Linked DNA regions of Sus scrofa. The protein of the gene in region 3 purifies or fractionates together with the protein of the main gene of each other region. This does not show direct contact. Links are inferred from orthologs where the notes say so. Each region holds a gene or a part of one and is shown on either strand. Other genes may lie near its edges.

Evidence for each region.
Region 1: the proteins of RMND5A (region 3) and GID8 purify together in Homo sapiens (affinity purification with mass spectrometry; 5 studies listed by BioGRID and IntAct, counting the BioPlex papers as one, with this or other methods). This does not show direct contact. The link is inferred for Sus scrofa from reciprocal best matches to the Homo sapiens genes RMND5A and GID8.
Region 2: the proteins of RMND5A (region 3) and SKI purify together in Homo sapiens (affinity purification with mass spectrometry; 3 studies listed by BioGRID and IntAct, counting the BioPlex papers as one, with this or other methods). This does not show direct contact. The link is inferred for Sus scrofa from reciprocal best matches to the Homo sapiens genes RMND5A and SKI.

The regions. Positions count from the first base shown.
Region 1 is NC_010459.5:62,171,866-62,177,380, reverse strand, and holds the start of GID8 (glucose-induced degradation protein 8 homolog), read right to left. Parts: upstream 3,160-5,515; 5' UTR 2,973-3,159; intron 2,812-2,972; exon of another isoform or gene 563-2,811; 5' UTR 551-562; coding exon 433-550; intron 1-432. UniProt on the Homo sapiens protein: Core component of the CTLH E3 ubiquitin-protein ligase complex that selectively accepts ubiquitin from UBE2H and mediates ubiquitination and subsequent proteasomal degradation of the transcription factor HBP1.
Region 2 is NC_010448.4:64,185,941-64,191,423, forward strand, and holds the start of SKI (ski oncogene), read left to right. Parts: upstream 1-2,324; 5' UTR 2,325-2,372; coding exon 2,373-3,341; intron 3,342-5,483. UniProt on the Homo sapiens protein: May play a role in terminal differentiation of skeletal muscle cells but not in the determination of cells to the myogenic lineage. Functions as a repressor of TGF-beta signaling.
Region 3 is NC_010445.4:58,093,361-58,098,676, forward strand, and holds the start of RMND5A (protein RMD5 homolog A), read right to left. Parts: upstream 3,493-5,316; 5' UTR 2,862-3,492; coding exon 2,720-2,861; intron 1-2,719.

The DNA of each region.
Region 1 (5,515 bases), on a different chromosome or scaffold from region 3:
AGATGGACCCGGGCCGGGGGCGGGCACCCGGAACCCCCAGGAGGAGACTCGCACCCTCTGGAGACCCGTAGGTGGTCTCCCAGCGCCCAGAGCCACCCTCCTCCTCTCCAGGGTCAGGGGCACTGAGGGGCAGTGGCTGGCCAAACGGGCCAGCCCGGCCTTCGCGTTGACTCAGAATGACCCTCGCTACTCCGGCCAGTTACAAAGACGTCCAAGGCCGAGCAGCAGGGCTTGGCCTCTGGTCCCGGAGCCCTAGGACCGTGACATCGGCTCCAGAGAAGGGGCATCCCTTTAAAACGATCGCTGCAAGGTCACTGTGTCCGCACTGCGTTTGGCTGAGGCCTGACCGCGGGGCAGGGCCGTGGTAAGGCCTGCTGGGCACAGCCCGGGAGGAGCCTGTCCGAGCGGCACGGCCTCAGCGCAGCCCGTTACCTGTGACCAGGTAGTTCATGATGAGGCGGTTCATGTCTGCTCGCTGGACGTGCAAGTTGTTGAGCTTCTCCATCCACTCGTCCTTCGTGATCTCGTCGGGTTTTTCCGCGTAACTCATTCCGAATTACTTCTACGGGGGAAAAAGGAATGTTTGAGGAACCGACGAAGAATTGTGTGTCAGCTGCGAACATTTTGGAAACAAACACAGCGACAGAGCAAGAAGTAAAAGGCAGAGGGGGCAGATACTTGCGATGTGGAAAACAGCAAGTGCAAAGGACCTGAGCCTCAACACGGTCGGTGTCTGGAAGGTAAGACGGACGCGAGGAAGCGCTGACGGTCTTAGAACCAAGGTCTGGCGGTCAGCTGGGGTCAGACTAGAGCCCTCCAGGCCGAGGGAGAGCTCTAGAGGGACCCTCTCCTAAGCAGAGGGCGGCTGCGGGAGGTACAGGCTGAAGTCCCGGCTGCTGTGTGTGCCTGAGAGAAGCCTGCGTCCCACAGCCACTGGCCAGGCAGAAAGGGAAAGGTCCGACGGCAGCGAGAGTTAACAGAGCCACGGGGCTCTCCCCACCCGACCCTGGGCTCCCCCAGATCTGCCTGCACGCAGACGCGCGCAGCTCCTCCCGCTGGACGGAGTCCCTCCAAAACTCACCACTGGGCTGACACACACCAGCCCGTGCACAGACTGTGCAAAATGGCACAGTGTGGAGGCCGTGCACCCAGAGTTCATCCAACAGCAGCACGGACAAACATCCTGTGCTTCCCGGACCACAGGCCCAGCTCCGAAACCCTGGCACAGACTGGTTTCAGAACTTAGAATTGCTCAGACTGTACAGAGACCATCTGGGGAGTTCCCGTTGTGACGCAGCAGGTTAAGAGCCTGACAGTGTCCGTGAGGACGCAGGTTTGATCCCTGGCCTCGCTGGATGGGTGAAGGATCTGGCATTGCCGAAGGCTGCGGTGGCCTGGACCCGGCGTTATGGAGGCCTGTGGCTGTGGCTCCAACTCGACCCCTAGCCCAGGAGCTTCCACAGGCCGCAGGTCAGGATGTAAAGAGAAAAAGAAAGTGTTCAGCCATACACACACACACACACACACACAAACAAAACTGCTTTGTTGTTGTTGTGAGGGCCTGAAACATGACCCTCGGGAGGCGGTCACCCCTGGGAGAGGGTCCCTGGGAGCAGCAGGCAGGCTCTCGAGACAGACGGTGAGTCCACTTCAGTTTTACCCCTGTTACTGACAAAGGTGTTGCGGATATTACCTTACATCCAGCAAAGTACATCTGAAATTGCGTCCAGACATGAAGCCTAAAGGACGCTCTGGTTTCCCGGCAGACGTGGGAGGACTGTGGGTGGTGAGGGCTGAGCCGGAGGATGAGCCAGGGGCCACCCGGACAAGGAAGAGCAGCTATGCAAGAGCCAGAGGGCAGAGCCCACCTGAGGACACCGAGCCAGGTGTCTGCTGCTGGACCTCACGTGGAAGGACAACAGAACCAATGCGATGAGGACCATGGAGACCGGGAGACCCTGGCGCGTGGAGCCGCAAGTGAGGAGGAAGGACTGGGAGAGGAACAGGTTTGAGGAGCCAGGCCAGTTTGGGCTGCCTATTACACACGCCGCAGGAGTCAAGGCGGCACCTGGATCACAGGTCCCGAGCTCAGCGCCGGAAGCATTCATTAGGGAAACATGCGCCACACCAAGACTGAAAGCCCGGATTCCGCCAAGGCTGCCCAGGGAGAGAGTGGGCGTGGGGAGCAGAGGGGCGCCAGACCAAGTCCTCGGTAGCGGGGACGCCGTGCCCAACTCGGATCAGCAGAGGAGGAGGCGCGGCGAAAGCAAACTTAGCTTGTAGGAAGACCTAAGCGGGAGCTGCGGTCCTTCCAGCGCACACCTAGCCCTCGCGGCTACGGCCAACTTCACGACCAGCGGCGTAACTCCCTCAGATCCAACCCTGACTCCCAGACAACAGAGCGAGAGCTGATGTAACAGCGCTGGAGAACGGACCCGGGAACCACCCCAGCTCCGAGGGCGCGGGACCCCAGCTCCCCAAGCGGCAGCGTCCGACCTCAGCACTTGGACCTCCGCTCTGAAGCGGCTCTGTGTCCAAACAGTTCCCTTGCGACACAAGTGCGCCGTGTCGACAACCATCACCCCAGCAGGCGACCGCCCCTCAAGGCTGCAGCCTTCCCTCGAAAGGCGCTCGGGTCGGGAACACACACTGAATCCCGGACCCGGGCTCCGCCGCGGCTAGCGAGGAGGGAGGCAGGTTGACTCGCAAACCCTGCGAGCGCCGCCTCCCGCGAGAACGCGGCCCGATTCGGTCCTGCTCGGACCTTCGACCCGGAAGGCCCTGGCGCGGGACGCCCCGGCCCAACCCCCTCTCCGGCCCCTCTCCCCTCTCCCGCCCCGCGCCCGTCCTCCCCGGCCCCGACCCCGGCCCGGCCCCTCCCCTCCCGGGGCCCTCCGCTCCCCGCCCCCGCCCCGCCGCGCTCCCGCGGGAACGCTGGGCCCGACCGCCCGGGCCCGCCGCGGCCATCTTACCGTTCGGATCCCGCCTGCCGCGCTTCGGGGGGGGGGTCTTCGCGGCCGCGCGGGGGGCCGGGCTGGGCGGGGAGGGGGCGGCGACGCCGGGGAGGGGGAGGTGGAGGCGGGGGCCGCGGCGGAGGCGGGGGCGGGGAACGGGAGGGCAGACGCACCGGCGGCCGCCCCCTCAGCCACTTCCCGCGAGATCGCCAGCTCGAGAGCCGGCAGCCAATCAAGTGCTCCCGAAGGGGGGGCGGGGCGAAGCGGCCCACCGGAAGCGCGGAACCCCAGCTTCCGCCCTTGCGCAGAACTCCCCTCGCGGCGCCCTCGCTCTACGGATTGGCGCGAGAGTCAAAAGGCGTCGGCCGCTTCTGGGTAAGATGGCTGCCGCGGAGGTGTCGTTGTGGGGCAACTTTGCGTCGGGACGGCGACATCTAGACTGAGTCGGAGGCGAAGGTTCCAGCGTCCTTCCGTCTTTGGTGTGAGCCCGCGGGCATGGGCGGGAGCGGGGGGCAGGCGCCGGTGCTCCGCGCAGGCCCGAGGCAGGGTTCCTCCTGGCCGGGCGCCTGCCTTCGCGCAGGCCGGGGAGGAGCCGCCGCCCGAGCGCGGCCGGCGGGAGGTCTCCGCTCCGACGGTTGGGGCGGGCTCGGGGGCCACGCGGCCGCGGCCGAGAGCGTGCAGCCGCTCGCTGCCGGATGACTCACCCGGAACGGGCCTGCCCTCAGGGAGCCTCCCGCCCGGGGGCCCTGCGGCCCGGGGCCCGGGGGTCTTTCCCGCCCGGGCTCCCTTAGCCGCGCTGGGGTTGGGCGAAGGCTGCAGCATGTGCCACGGGGGCCGGGAGAGCGGAGGGTCCCCCTGCGCCGTGGCCGGACCTGGTGCTCGTGGAGGTGCAGAAAGGCACCTTCATTTGGTTGTTTTCGTCCGTCTGCTGGAGCAAAGTGCAGACTTGGTCAGAGCAGGGCCTCGTTTTCTCGTTACTGGAGAGTAAAGTGAAAAGATGTTAGAACTCTTTCAGGAAGGAAATTGAGGGGGCAGCCCTTTATTCCATCGGATGAAATCCGCCGTCCTCCTGCAGTCAGAGGCTGGAGGGTTGGTGTGGTTGCTCTAGAGTCACCTAAGAAACGTGGAGGTGGTGTGGGGCTTCTTGCACAGAGAGCTATTTGGCAAATAGGTTTGACAGGGAGGACGAATTGTAGATTATTTCCGTTCGTCGAATGAGCTACATTTGCAGGTTCAAAGCTTTGGCACAAATCTGTTTAAAGTGCAGATGTAAATGCCTGACAGACGTGCGATTCCATTCTTTTCAGAGACTCAATCCTGTAAACAACCTTCGCTGTCAGCTCAGTAGTGAGAGGTGCAGACTTTAAAAATTATTTCAAGGGTGCACGAGCACATGCCGGTGCCCTGAGGAGACAGAACGTTCCAGCCCCTAAAAAGGGTTCAGGGGGCCTTCTCTGTGGGTCATAGGTTAGCGGCCGCTCTCCCCAGGTCCTGCGCCCCCCTCATTCCACCTAGACAGGGGCTGCCTTCTGTGGCTCCCAGCCTCGCCCCCACAACACCGAGGCGCCCTCCTTCCTCTCCTCCTCCGTCCCGGGGACCCTGCCAGCTCCCTCGAGACACCCCCGCGGCAGGCAGGGCGATCTCCCTTCGTCCCTGTCCTCTTCACACCCCTCAGAGACTCCCCTTTGGCACCAAATGAGCTGAAAGCCTCGCTCCCCTGTCTCGCCCTTTCTCTCCCCATCGCCCTCTGGGCTCTCGGCCTGTGTCCCGCACTCCCCAGGCTCGCTCCTGGGAGTGGGGAGAAGGACCCTGGCAAGCAGGCTGTAGCGCCCCCCCCTAATGCTCACCTGGTCCCCACACTGTCCCCTTGGTGTGTTTAGCTCCTGACCTGTGTGGCAGGTGCCTGTGAGCGGGTCACGACTTACCTGAAACACCTGAGCCTCCGCAGAGCTGAAGCGTCTGGCGCGTGGCGGGAGGCCCGTGGATGCTGGCTGGGAATGTGGAGGAGGGAATGGATGCGCCACGAGGACCCCAGCTGGAAGCAGGGACGGCCAGGGGAGGGGACGGTCTGGAGTGGGTTGACGGCCGTGGAGTGACAGGGGAGGAAGGTGGCGCTCAGGTGCGTGGCCAGTGAGGGCGGTGGTGGTGGCACCAACCGAGGGAGAACGTGAGTTCAGCCTGGGCCGCGTGCGTTGAAGTGCCTGTGAGTGTCCATAGCTCGAGGGCAGATGAGGCTGCAGGTGACAGTTTTGCGGCGACAGTGGTGACAGCTTGTGAAGGTCAGTAGACAGGTCAGTAGGCACATTCAGGGTGGGTCCTCCCAGAGCCGGGCCCGGGCACTCCTGGGGCCTGGTTTCTAGCGGGTGTCCCGGCCGAGGTCACGTGTGGAGTGGCTGTTGACTTGACATCCACCAAGCCTGCCCGAGGGACGGCCAGGAGGTGCAGTGAGTGTGGGGTGAGGTGTCCAGTCTGGAGAATCCACTGGGGCCCTGCAGTGGACGTGGGGCGGAGTGACCAGGTGGCACCGATCCCGGGGAACACTGAAGCCACAGGGTTTGGTG
Region 2 (5,483 bases), on a different chromosome or scaffold from region 3:
TCTCGTGTTGGGGCACTGGAGTGAGCAGTGGAAAGGACAGTCCCCAGGACATAGGTGAGGGCGGGCAGGGAGCAGTCAGGTCCTCAAACGTGGGGCACTGCGCCCTGAATCTCAAGGGCCCCAGAGCCTGCCTGGGTCTGCAGGTGTACAGGTGTGGGGTCACCGGCCCATCCTAGCTGCCTATCCAGACACGTGGCCGTGCCCGAGAGGTGACTGAGGCCTGCGGAGATGCCCGGTCGGCTGCCCGGAGCAGACACTCCCCCAGAGCAGAGCTGGGTTGGGGCCAGCTCCAGCTTCCCCTGGGGAGTCAGGAACAGCAGGTGACAGGCTGAAGTGGGTGCGGCCTTCTCACCCACTGTGCCCCATGTGCCCCCCAGTGCCCAGGCCAGTTTGGGTGCTCTCATCCCGTGGAGGAAAAGGTGCCACTGCCGGGTTGGGCTGGAGTGTCCTTCTGCCCTCAGGTTGAGCACAGCCTAAACCTACCTCCTGACCCCGAGTGCCCTGCCCCCAGGCCTCTGCTGGATGCTGCCTCCTCTGGGGGCGCCCCCCCTCCAGCCTGTTCCACCCGGCGCCTTCTGGTTGGCCCCTTGCCCTAGTACAGCCAGTGTGTGGAAGGACGGCAGTGGGGTCTCGGCCTAGGTGCCCTGCAGATGTATAAATGGCTCTCTGGGCCTGGGCGCTGCGGGGTTAGGGCAGGGCCAGTCTGTACTGAGGACACGCGCTGCGCAGCGACCTGGGAGGACCACGCGGACACAGCCCCCAGAGGCAAGCCCTGTCCTGTGGCGCAGCAGTCCTGCACTGGAGCTGGCAGGAGGTGCGGCTGCTGGCTGTGTGGGGAGACCCGGGTGCGGGGTCACAGCGTGGCCCTTCCTGCCAGCAGTCATGCCTTGGCGGTCGGTCCCCAGGACAGGCTGCACGGGGTCTGTCTCCTGCGGGGGGGGTGTGTGTCTCCGGGGTGCTGCACTCCTAACCCACATCGTGTTGCTTGGTGTCCCTGTACTATGTGCGACTTGGATCATTTTGCCTGGTGTCCCCATCGTGTGCGTGGGGACCGCGGCGTTGATGGAGGACGCGCGGCCCGTCCTGTCCGCTCCTCAGCTGGTCTGCGGTTGTGGTGGGGGCCCCGTGTGGGTTTCTGGGCTCTGGTGGCGACGGGGCGGCGGGCCGGGGGCCTTCGCGGCCGCGCAGGAAGCGGCCTCCGCCGGATGAGGGGCCTGGGGCGCCGCCGTCGCCCCCGCGGAGCCGCCTTCCGGCGGGTGGGGCCGATCGGCGCCGAACAGCGCTGAACCCCTGGCGGCTGCGGCCGAGCGGAGCCGAGCGGAGCCGAGCAGACCCGAGTCCCCGGCGGGCTGGGCCGAGCGGAGCCGAGTCCCGGGCGGACGGGCCCGAGCGCGGCCGAGCGCGGCCGAGCGCCGGGCGTGGGCGGGGGGAGCGCGCGTTCCTGGAAGAGCCGGGTCGGGGGGCCGGCGCATTCCAGGCCGGCGCTCGGCTGAGGCGGACGCGCGGCCCCAGACGACGCGCGGGGCGGGGCGGCGGCGCGGCGCGGGGCGGGGCGCGGGGCGGGGCGGCGGCGTGAGCTCAGCGCCCGGCGCTCAGTCCGAGCTGGAGCGAGCCGCCGGGAGGATGTGCGCCGATCTCCGCGCCGCCGCCGCCGCCGCGGTCTGAGGCCGCCGCCACAGGCGCTCCGCCGCCCCGGAAGCCGCGCGCGCGCGCGCGCGGGCGGGCGGGCAGGCCGCGGAGCCGGGCGCGGGCGGCGGGGTGGGCGCGGGCCGGGCCGGGAGGCCGGCGGCGGGCGCGACGCGGCCGGCCAGCGCCGCCGGGACGAGCCGGGCGGGCGCCGCGCGGTGGGAGGAGCGGGGCGGCGGCGGCGGCGCGCCGCGCGAGGACGGCCCGGCGGGCCCCGCGCCCGCGCCCCCGCTCCTCCCGGGCCCCTCGGCCTCGGCCGCCGCGGCGATTCGCGCCTCGCGGCGCCGGCACCTGCCCGCGCGCCCCCCGCGAGCCCCGGGCCCGCGAGCGTTGGCGTTGGCGTTGGCGGCGCGCGCTGGGGCATGCCCCGCGCCTAGGGCCCGGGGGGCGCGCGGGGGGCGCGCGGGGGCCCGGGCGGCGGCGGGCGCGGCGCGGGGCGCGTGGATGTGGCGCCGGGCCCGGGCGGCGGCGGGCTGCAGCGGCGGGACCCCTTCGCCCCGCCCGCCTTCCCCTTCGCGCCCCCGGGCGAGGCCGAGGCCGCGGCCGTGATCGGCCGGGAGCCGGTGGCGGGGGGCGGCCGGGGCCGGGGCCGGGGGCGCCGCCGGGGCGCGCGGGGCGGCGGCGGCGGGGGCCGCGGGGGCCCGGGCGCGCGGGAGCGGGAGCGGCCTGGGGAGCCGGAGCGCACCATGGAGGCGGCGGCGGGCGGCCGGGGCGGCTTTCAGCCGCACCCGGGGCTGCAGAAGACGCTGGAGCAGTTCCACCTGAGCTCCATGAGCTCGCTGGGCGGCCCGGCCGCCTTCTCGGCGCGCTGGGCGCAGGAGGCCTACAAGAAGGAGAGCGCCAAGGAGGCGGGCGCGGCCGCGGTGCCGGCGCCGGTGCCCGCGGCCGCCGAGCCTCCGCCGGTGCTGCACCTGCCCGCCATCCAGCCGCCGCCGCCCGTGCTGCCCGGGCCCTTCTTCATGCCGTCCGACCGCTCCACGGAGCGCTGCGAGACCGTGCTGGAGGGCGAGACCATCTCGTGCTTCGTGGTGGGCGGCGAGAAGCGCCTGTGTCTGCCGCAGATCCTCAACTCGGTGCTGCGCGACTTCTCGCTGCAGCAGATCAACTCGGTGTGCGACGAGCTGCACATCTACTGCTCGCGCTGCACGGCCGACCAGCTGGAGATCCTCAAAGTCATGGGCATCCTGCCCTTCTCGGCGCCCTCGTGCGGGCTCATCACCAAGACGGACGCCGAGCGCCTGTGCAACGCGCTGCTCTACGGCGGCGCCTACCCGCCGCCCTGCAAGCAGGAGCTGGCCGCCAGCCTGGCGCTGGGCCTGGAGCGCAGCGAGCGCAGCGTGCGCGTGTACCACGAGTGCTTCGGCAAGTGCAAGGGACTGCTGGTCCCCGAGCTGTACAGCAGCCCGAGCGCCGCCTGCATCCAGTGCCTGGACTGCTCTCTCCTGTACCCACCGCATAAGTTCGTGGTGCACTCGCACAAGGCCCTGGAGAACCGGACCTGCCACTGGGGCTTCGACTCGGCCAACTGGCGGGCCTACATCCTGCTGAGCCAGGACTACACCGGCAAGGAGGAGCAGGCGCGCCTCGGCAGATGCCTGGACGACGTCAAGGAGAAGTTCGACTACGGCAACAAGTACAAGAGGCGGGCGCCCCGGGTGAGTGTCCTGCGAGCGGCGGCGGCGCGCCTGGGGGGGGGCGGCGGCGGTGGGGGGGGGGTGGTGGCTGTGGGCAGGGGCTGGGGCGCGCGGTGCGACCTGTGCTTCCTCCGCCTCCACACGTCTCGGTGTTTTGTTTTGTTTTGTTTTAAGGAGACTGGGGTGGGGGGGCAGGGGAGTGTCCTTGTCCCCCTAGAGGGCCAGGTAGCCCGGGAGGAAGAGCCTCCTGTCTGACTCCCAGCCTGAGCCAGGCTGGCCTGGTTGGGAGCCCTGGGGAGCCTGGGGCAGGCTTGGTGGGCGAAGCCTTGCTGAGGCCCACGGTCATTGCCCAGACAGCCGGGAGGGGCAGGCTGCAGACCTTGGACTCTCTGTCCCGAGTCCCCGGGAAAGTGGTTCTGGCTGGGCCCAAGCTGGAGCTCCAAGTCCAGTCCTTCCTCGGGCCCAAAGCAAGTGTCCAGCCCCCATGCGCGAGGGGGACTGCCCTGGCCCCCAAGCTCCCAGGCTCGCACACGGGGTGCCTGGCACTTCCCAGCAGGCAGAACTTGGCCAGGCGGGGCCTGTTTGTGCCTTGAAGTCTCGGGAGACAGACTCAAAGCCCAAGCCAGGTGTCCAGGCCCTGGTGGCAGGGGGCCGAGACTTGGCGACTCCAGCTCTCTGTGTCTGCCCTGGCCTGGCAGGCAGTGAATTGTGGAGTCCCCCGTGTGGGGGCGAGGGCTGCTTGGCACAGGGCTTGGGGACTGGTCAGCGGGCACCCAGGGCCCCGGGTGTCAGGGTAGCCGCCGGCCTGTGATTCGTTTTGGACATGTCCTTATCTCCTTGTTTCCTTCTCGCTGAAACGCCGAAGGGTGCAGCAGGGAGGCCGCTGGCCGAGGCGCTGTTGTTTGCCAGGCTGGGGGTCTGTGTGATCCGGCCTGGCTGCTCCCGGGCCACCAGGCGCCCCAGCCCTCCATCAGGGTCGACACCAACTTTTCATGGCGTCTTCCCCCCGCCCCAAGTATTTGCAACTTTTCTTTGAAATATGCAGGCTTATTAAATTGCACACACAGAATGCTGCACTGGCTCAGCTATTCTTGGGAGGCCTAATTAATTCAGCTATTGCATCAAACTTTTTTTTTTCCAAATCTGTGAATAGATGCTCCCCCCAGTTCTCTCTGGGCGCCTCTCCAGCGGAGTGTCAGAGTCTCAGGGAGCGGAGGAGGGGAGGGAATAAGGGCCTGCTGCCCGCGCTCAGAGGGGCCACCGCGTGTGCGTCCGTGTATCTGGTGGTGGTGCTGCCCTTGGCTAGGCCAGCGCCCAGGTGGCAGCTGTCTGCAGGCTGTGGAGTTGGCACGGGGTGGGGGAGCCGGTCTGGGTGGGCAGCTCGGTGGGGGAGGGTGCCCATGGGAACGGCTGCCGGCAGATCTCAGCAGGCTGGCCAGGCCCGTCGTGCAGGCTGCTGTTGGCTGTGGGTGGCGTGATGGGTGCTCCCCGGGGCCTGGGGTGCCCGCTCCCTCGACAGCCATCTTGCCGGCGCTGGTGGGTTCTGGCGGGCTGGTTAAGCCTGTGGTGGGCAAGGCTGTGGCGGGTTCCTCTGCTCCAGAGTGGACAGCAGAGGGTCCACGGGTGGTTGGGACTGCGGCAGGGTGTGTGCCCGTCTGGGTCCTGGTCTGGGTCCTGGGTGGTTGGGACTGTCTTGCTGGGGTCTGCTTTTTGTCATCGCTGAAGGCCCTTCCGGGCCCTGGTGTCCGCAGGCTCAGGGAAGGCCTGGCCCAAGCTGGTGGCCTGGAGGGGAGGCCGGAGCATGCTGGTGATTTCAACAGATGGTCAGCGCCCCGTCCTCCTCCGCTGCTCTCCGCAGTGCTGCTCGGAAACCTCGTTTCCTGCTTAGAAAAACGCCACGGGTGACGATGAAGACAGGGTCATCGGAAGGGGTTGGAGTCTCCGGGTCTCAGTGTCACCCCGCCCTTGGTGACCAGGGTCGCGGGCCTCCTCCAGGCCCCGGCTGCTGGCCGGCCGCTCCCTGGCTCCCCCCCCCCGCCCCCCGTCTTGGGACCCGCCGCCCTGGCCCTGTGGCTGAGCAGCCGGGAATTCTGGGGTGCCTGGTCCCTTTGGGGTGCGCCCGGCCGTGCCCTTGCCTGTCTACCCGCCAGCGACACCCGGGAG
Region 3 (5,316 bases):
ACAAACCATCCTGACTGTCTCACCTGGTATAGCTGTCTACTCACAACTTTAGAAAACGGAAATTTAAACATAAGAAATTGTAATTCAACCGCAAAAACTGACCCGATCCCTTGGCCCTCACCAAAGGACACTTCTGGATCAGTCACGCACCATCAGTGTGGTGCAACGTTGGGGGACTGGTAAAGTGCCCAAGATTCTACTCTATTGATATCACATTCTCACAAGAATGTCACCACAAATGAGTGCAGAGAATGAGATCCAAAGCCCTAATAGAGGGTCCCAGGTGGCGCCCCTCCCTCAGGTCATAGAAGCCCACGAGATCACTTGCCCAGACAGGTACATTCAAAGCCTTGGAAATTTCCCATTACACTTGAAAATGGAGTTCCAAACTCAGATTTCAGTAGATATAACTTTCAGATGGGTATATCTCAGATTCAGCGTAATACCCACACTGCCTGCAGAGGATTTTATCTGCTTTGAAAATATCATAACCCAGATACCAAAACCTGATGTTTACTGACTTCGTACATAAGAACACCATAAGGAAGGTTTTATTTTGAAAATGAGACTTGGCATTTAAGCAGTATTTTTTTCATATTTTATAGTTGCCTTTAGTCATGTCATCCTATTAGCAAAGAATTGGAGAAAATCAGAGATATCAATATAAGACTGCAATTTGGTAGACAAAGTAAAAAGCAGGAGGCTGAAAAGAAAACATGAGCAATTCATCACATCAGACTTTTTAAACAGCCCAGCAAACTCTGTGGCTAATATCCTACTGGCTGTAAATTCCTTGAAAAGTTCCCCAATAACAAGCGAGGAGGTCTAAAATTCCCACTTTAGCAATTTCTCCAAATTATTTTGTCCACCCGGGATGGACCCCAAATCCCCTACAACAAGGTTCACAACCACATCCCCCTTCAATTAGCATGCCCTCTATCTCTCTCTCTCTCTCTCTCTCTCTCTCTCTCAGGGAAGAAAGGGATTTTACTTTCCATCTTCTCTCTCTCAAGCTCTGCCTAACCCAGCCCTCAATCTCTGACCTGGTCAGTAAAACTGAAATGTTCCTTCTGCCTCTCCAAGTCTACACCCTTCACTCACTCCTTCCCTTTCAGTCTTTAACAAGACCAAGATTTCCTCCCCAGTGGAGGGGGAGGGGCACTCCTTCAGTCCCTTTACTGAAGCAGCCCCCTTCACCTTGATCTGCACATTCTTCTTACCTCTCTGTCACCTAGTTTATTTTAACAATTCTATGAAACTGCAAGTAAAGAGGGTCACTGACTCCCAGCAGCCACAAACCTTGACCAACCTCTCTTTCTCTAAACCCGTCCTTTCTGCAGGCTCCTCCTGGCCTTCCACGCTTCAAGGCTATGCTTAGATCCTAAAGTCTTTCCTCCCTGTGGCCTAAGGGCTCTCCTTCCCTCTCCCGCAGAAAGGACACCAGGAAACCACCCTAGACCTTACCTCCTCCCAAACTCCACCTATGTATCTTCAGCCACCAGAAAATATCACTGAGCTCTTGACTCAATCTTCATTAGCCCTTCAGCTTCTCACTTGTCCAAAACCAAGTTCACCAGCACCTCCCCAGAGTCCCACCCCACTCTAGGTCTACTTCCCCTTCAGAAGCACTAACTCTCAGGATAAAGCAGTCTGGGAAAGGAAGGTGTGCAAGAAAGAAGGAGCGGTGGAGAGAGGCTCAACTAGGACCACTCTCCTCAACCTCACCTGCCAGGTCTACACATCCCCCCAAACCTTCCTTTTCAAAAAAATTCTGTTCTGCCTCCAAGTTGAAAAGGCCTCCGAACAGCTCTTCAATAAATCCATCACATAAAGTCCTTTACTTCTGGCTCAGAAGGAATCACCACTGTGGATATTTAAATTCAAACATCAGACGTTGAATGTTATTTAAAAAACAAAAAAAAACAAACCCTTCCCAAGCAGCTTCCACAAATTAAACTTTGGCAAAGTATCTGCCCCCAGGGTCTAGGCAGTAACCATATAGGAAAAACACCTACTATAGAAAATCTGTTTTCTGAAAGGAAAACAAGTTAAAAACTTGACCAGGTAAGCAAGTTAACTACCAACTTGTGCCACAATGTGTTTCTGGAGAGTTCCTCCGTCTCATCACTGGCTCCAGGAGGAGAGCTGAACAGTTTGGTTCAGCTAGTTTCCTAGCAATCAAGTCAGTGCCGCTGCCGAATTAAAGAAAAACTGCTTCCACACAGAGTTAAATTATGGAGTTGCAGAAGCGGCTGTTCTGTTAACCCACAGCTAAGAATAACACTCAACTTTCTAATTTAAAAAAAAAAAGAAAAAGAAAGAAAAGGAAAGACGAGAAAAGTAAGTCTCTGCGCTAAGAGTTTGGGGCAGAGAAGAAAGAGGGGGCTCCCTGCACTGACTCTCTGTTTACCCAGAGCCTTATGCCCAAGGCAACTGACCAGGGGAGCCCAGCCCGGGAGGGCGGCAGTTTGCAGGTGCGACGGACGGCCCCACCCCCGTTTAACCTGGGCTGGAGCCCCAGGCTTCAGAATTGGTTTTCCGGGTGGGTTCGGGCTCACTCTTAATTAACAACGAGGTCGGGGTAAGTTGGAGACAAAACCGGAGAGAGAAGCAGGAAAAAGCCAAAAGGGCCGCAGGGAAGGAGGAGCCGAGGCCCCCGGAGGCCACCCTTCCTGGCCCGCCGAGGCCTGGCCCCGCGCGCCCACCCGGGCCGCCCTACCGTGGCTCTGCAGGATCTCGTGCTTGAGGCCGCCCGTGTAGTCGATAAGCTCCTCCAGGCCGCGCTCGCACAGCTGCCCGTAGCCCGAGAACTTGTGCAGCACCTTCTCCAGCTCGCGCTCCACCGTCACGCACTGATCCATCCCGGAGGCGGTGGCGGCAGCGGCGCTCGGCTGCCCAGCGCCCGGGTGTCCGCAGCCGTTCGGCCCGGGCCCGGCCGAGGCCGCGTCCTGCTCCTCGTCCCCCAAGCGGGCGGCACGGGAGACTGAAGAGGCGGACGCGCTAGCCCCGGCGCCGAGGGAGCTCCGCGCAGCCCGCGCCCGCCTGCCCCATGGCGCCCCGACCCCGGCGCGTCGCCGCTGCTCCCGCTCGTTCTTCCCACCCGGCCCCGAGCCCCCGCTCGCCGCGTTCGCTGTCCGACGCGGCGCCGCCGATTGTTTTTGTTTTCACGGGAACCGACCGATGACCTGGTTCTCCCGGGCGGCACCAAGCGCCGCCGACCCGAGGGGGGGCAGCCACCCCAGCGAGGGATGGAGGCGGCGGGGGCCGTACCAAGCGCACGCTCGTGGCGGGGGGAGGCGGCCGGCGAGCGCGGGCGGAGGAACGTGACGAGCGTCCGCTCGCGCCGCCGCTCTAAAGGTGTGGGCCCTACCACGCGGGAGGCGTGCAAGGGAGCGGGAGAGGGCGGAGCAAAGATCCAATTGGGCCGAGGAGCTAAATAGGGAACTTTGGAGCCAGCCCCAGAGCTCCGAGAGCGCTACAACTACGCGCTCCGTAAACAAGAGGGTGGAAACCGCCCGTCACCACTCCGCCCAGAAACGGAGAAAACGAACCAATAAGCGCCGAGAATACGTAAGGAACGAACGTCCTCCAATCCCTGGCCGAGGCCTAATCCTTCAGCCAATCTGGGACTAGAGGCCAAACCAATAGTCTCGCTGTTGGAGGGGGTGATTTGGAGAGCATCCTGGGAAGCAAGTCGTTTCTGGAAAGCCGTGAGGGAAAACAAGGCAGAAATAAAAAGGCCTATTTCCCATAGGACTTCGCCCCAGCCCTGAGTTATTTCATCTCCCTGTCATTCCTGAGGGTACTGTCTTCTCCAAGTTTTGGAAAGCAGACTCGCCGCCCCGAGGAAAAATCCAGCCAGGCCGAGCGGAGTGGGTGGTGCTGCGGGCGGGGGTCGCTAACTGGAATAAGAAGAGGGGGATTCTGAGGTGGGAGAAGGGGGCTGCTTGTTGGCCGGGCGTGGCCCGCGATCCTGCCTCGATTCTCGCTACACCGGGAGGTCACAAGCCTTACACCTCCACCCCCACCCCCGCGGGCCTCGGCCCTTTGGCCCCTGGGACTCTCCTGACGGGTTGCCTCACCCCGGGGGCAGCATCACGGAAGGGAAACTTGCGTCGGACCTCGGGGCAGCCTGGCTCCTGCCTCTTCGGCTCGTTATTCCATTGCTTCCGATGGAGTTACCCCCTTCGCGTGAATCCTTCCCCTGACTTGCCATGGCGCCTCCTACCTTGGCCTGTACCTACTTGCTCACTAAGCTGTGACTGCCCCGACCTTAGCTTAGCGTTCCTCCTAGAAGCCAAGTTGATGCTTGCCTCAGGACCTCTGTACTTAGCCTTTCTTTGGACTAGAAAACTCTTCCATCGTGTCATCCTAAAATTTTCGGCTCACTTGTACCACAGAGGGTCCCCCCCTGACCACATTCCCTCCTCCATTACTACACCATATTTATTATGGTCAATCATAGCCGTTTTACTATTTTCTCACCACTTGTTATCTGTTTCAGTTATTTTCATTCACTTTTCTGTCTGCACTCCTTCAATAAAGCGCTAAGGCAGCCCCCTGGCCTCTGTTTTCTGTGCCCAGAACAGTGATTGGCAACATAGTACCTGGTCTTTTTATTATTATTATTATTAAGGTAAAACCTTTTTGAGCCTCAGTGTCTCTTTTTATAGTTTGGTAATAATTAGAACTAATAATACTTCGATCTATTGTTAGGAAAATGAAGATAATTTAGGTAAACACCCAGTAGCACATGATAACTACATGATAAACAGTGGTGGTTGCTACTAGTGTCAGTTCCCAGGAGTAAATATGAGATGGCAACTTAAAAATCATGGAATCACGTTGGTCCAGCACCTACCTAGTCGTTTTATTTAGTTCTCCGTGATACTCAAGGGCAGCCGCACTGTTGCTCTTACACATGGCCTTTCTCTTCCCCACCTAACCTGTTTTCCTTTCTCCTCTCTCCCTTGACAGGTGGCCCTGATTCCTCCTTCACTGAGAAGGTAAAAAACATTCAACTCCAGCACCTTCTGTCACCCTTCTCAAAGTGTGTCCATCTGTTGTATCCATTTTATGAACTGTTGTCAAGTACCCAACAGAAAAGGCGTGCCTTCTCCCTTTTTAAGTGGCCAGCTGACCTGAGGATGTGGGGAGAGCCTTCATTCAACCCTCCTTAGGCTGTTTCCCTTTTCTGCTCAGTCTTTTCATGGCCAGGCTGCCCGAAAAAATCCTCCACTCTTGTTCCTCCTGTTTCTCCAAGGATCTTCTTGATAAGCTCTGTCATCCTTTTCTGTCTTTTTTTTTTTCCCCTTG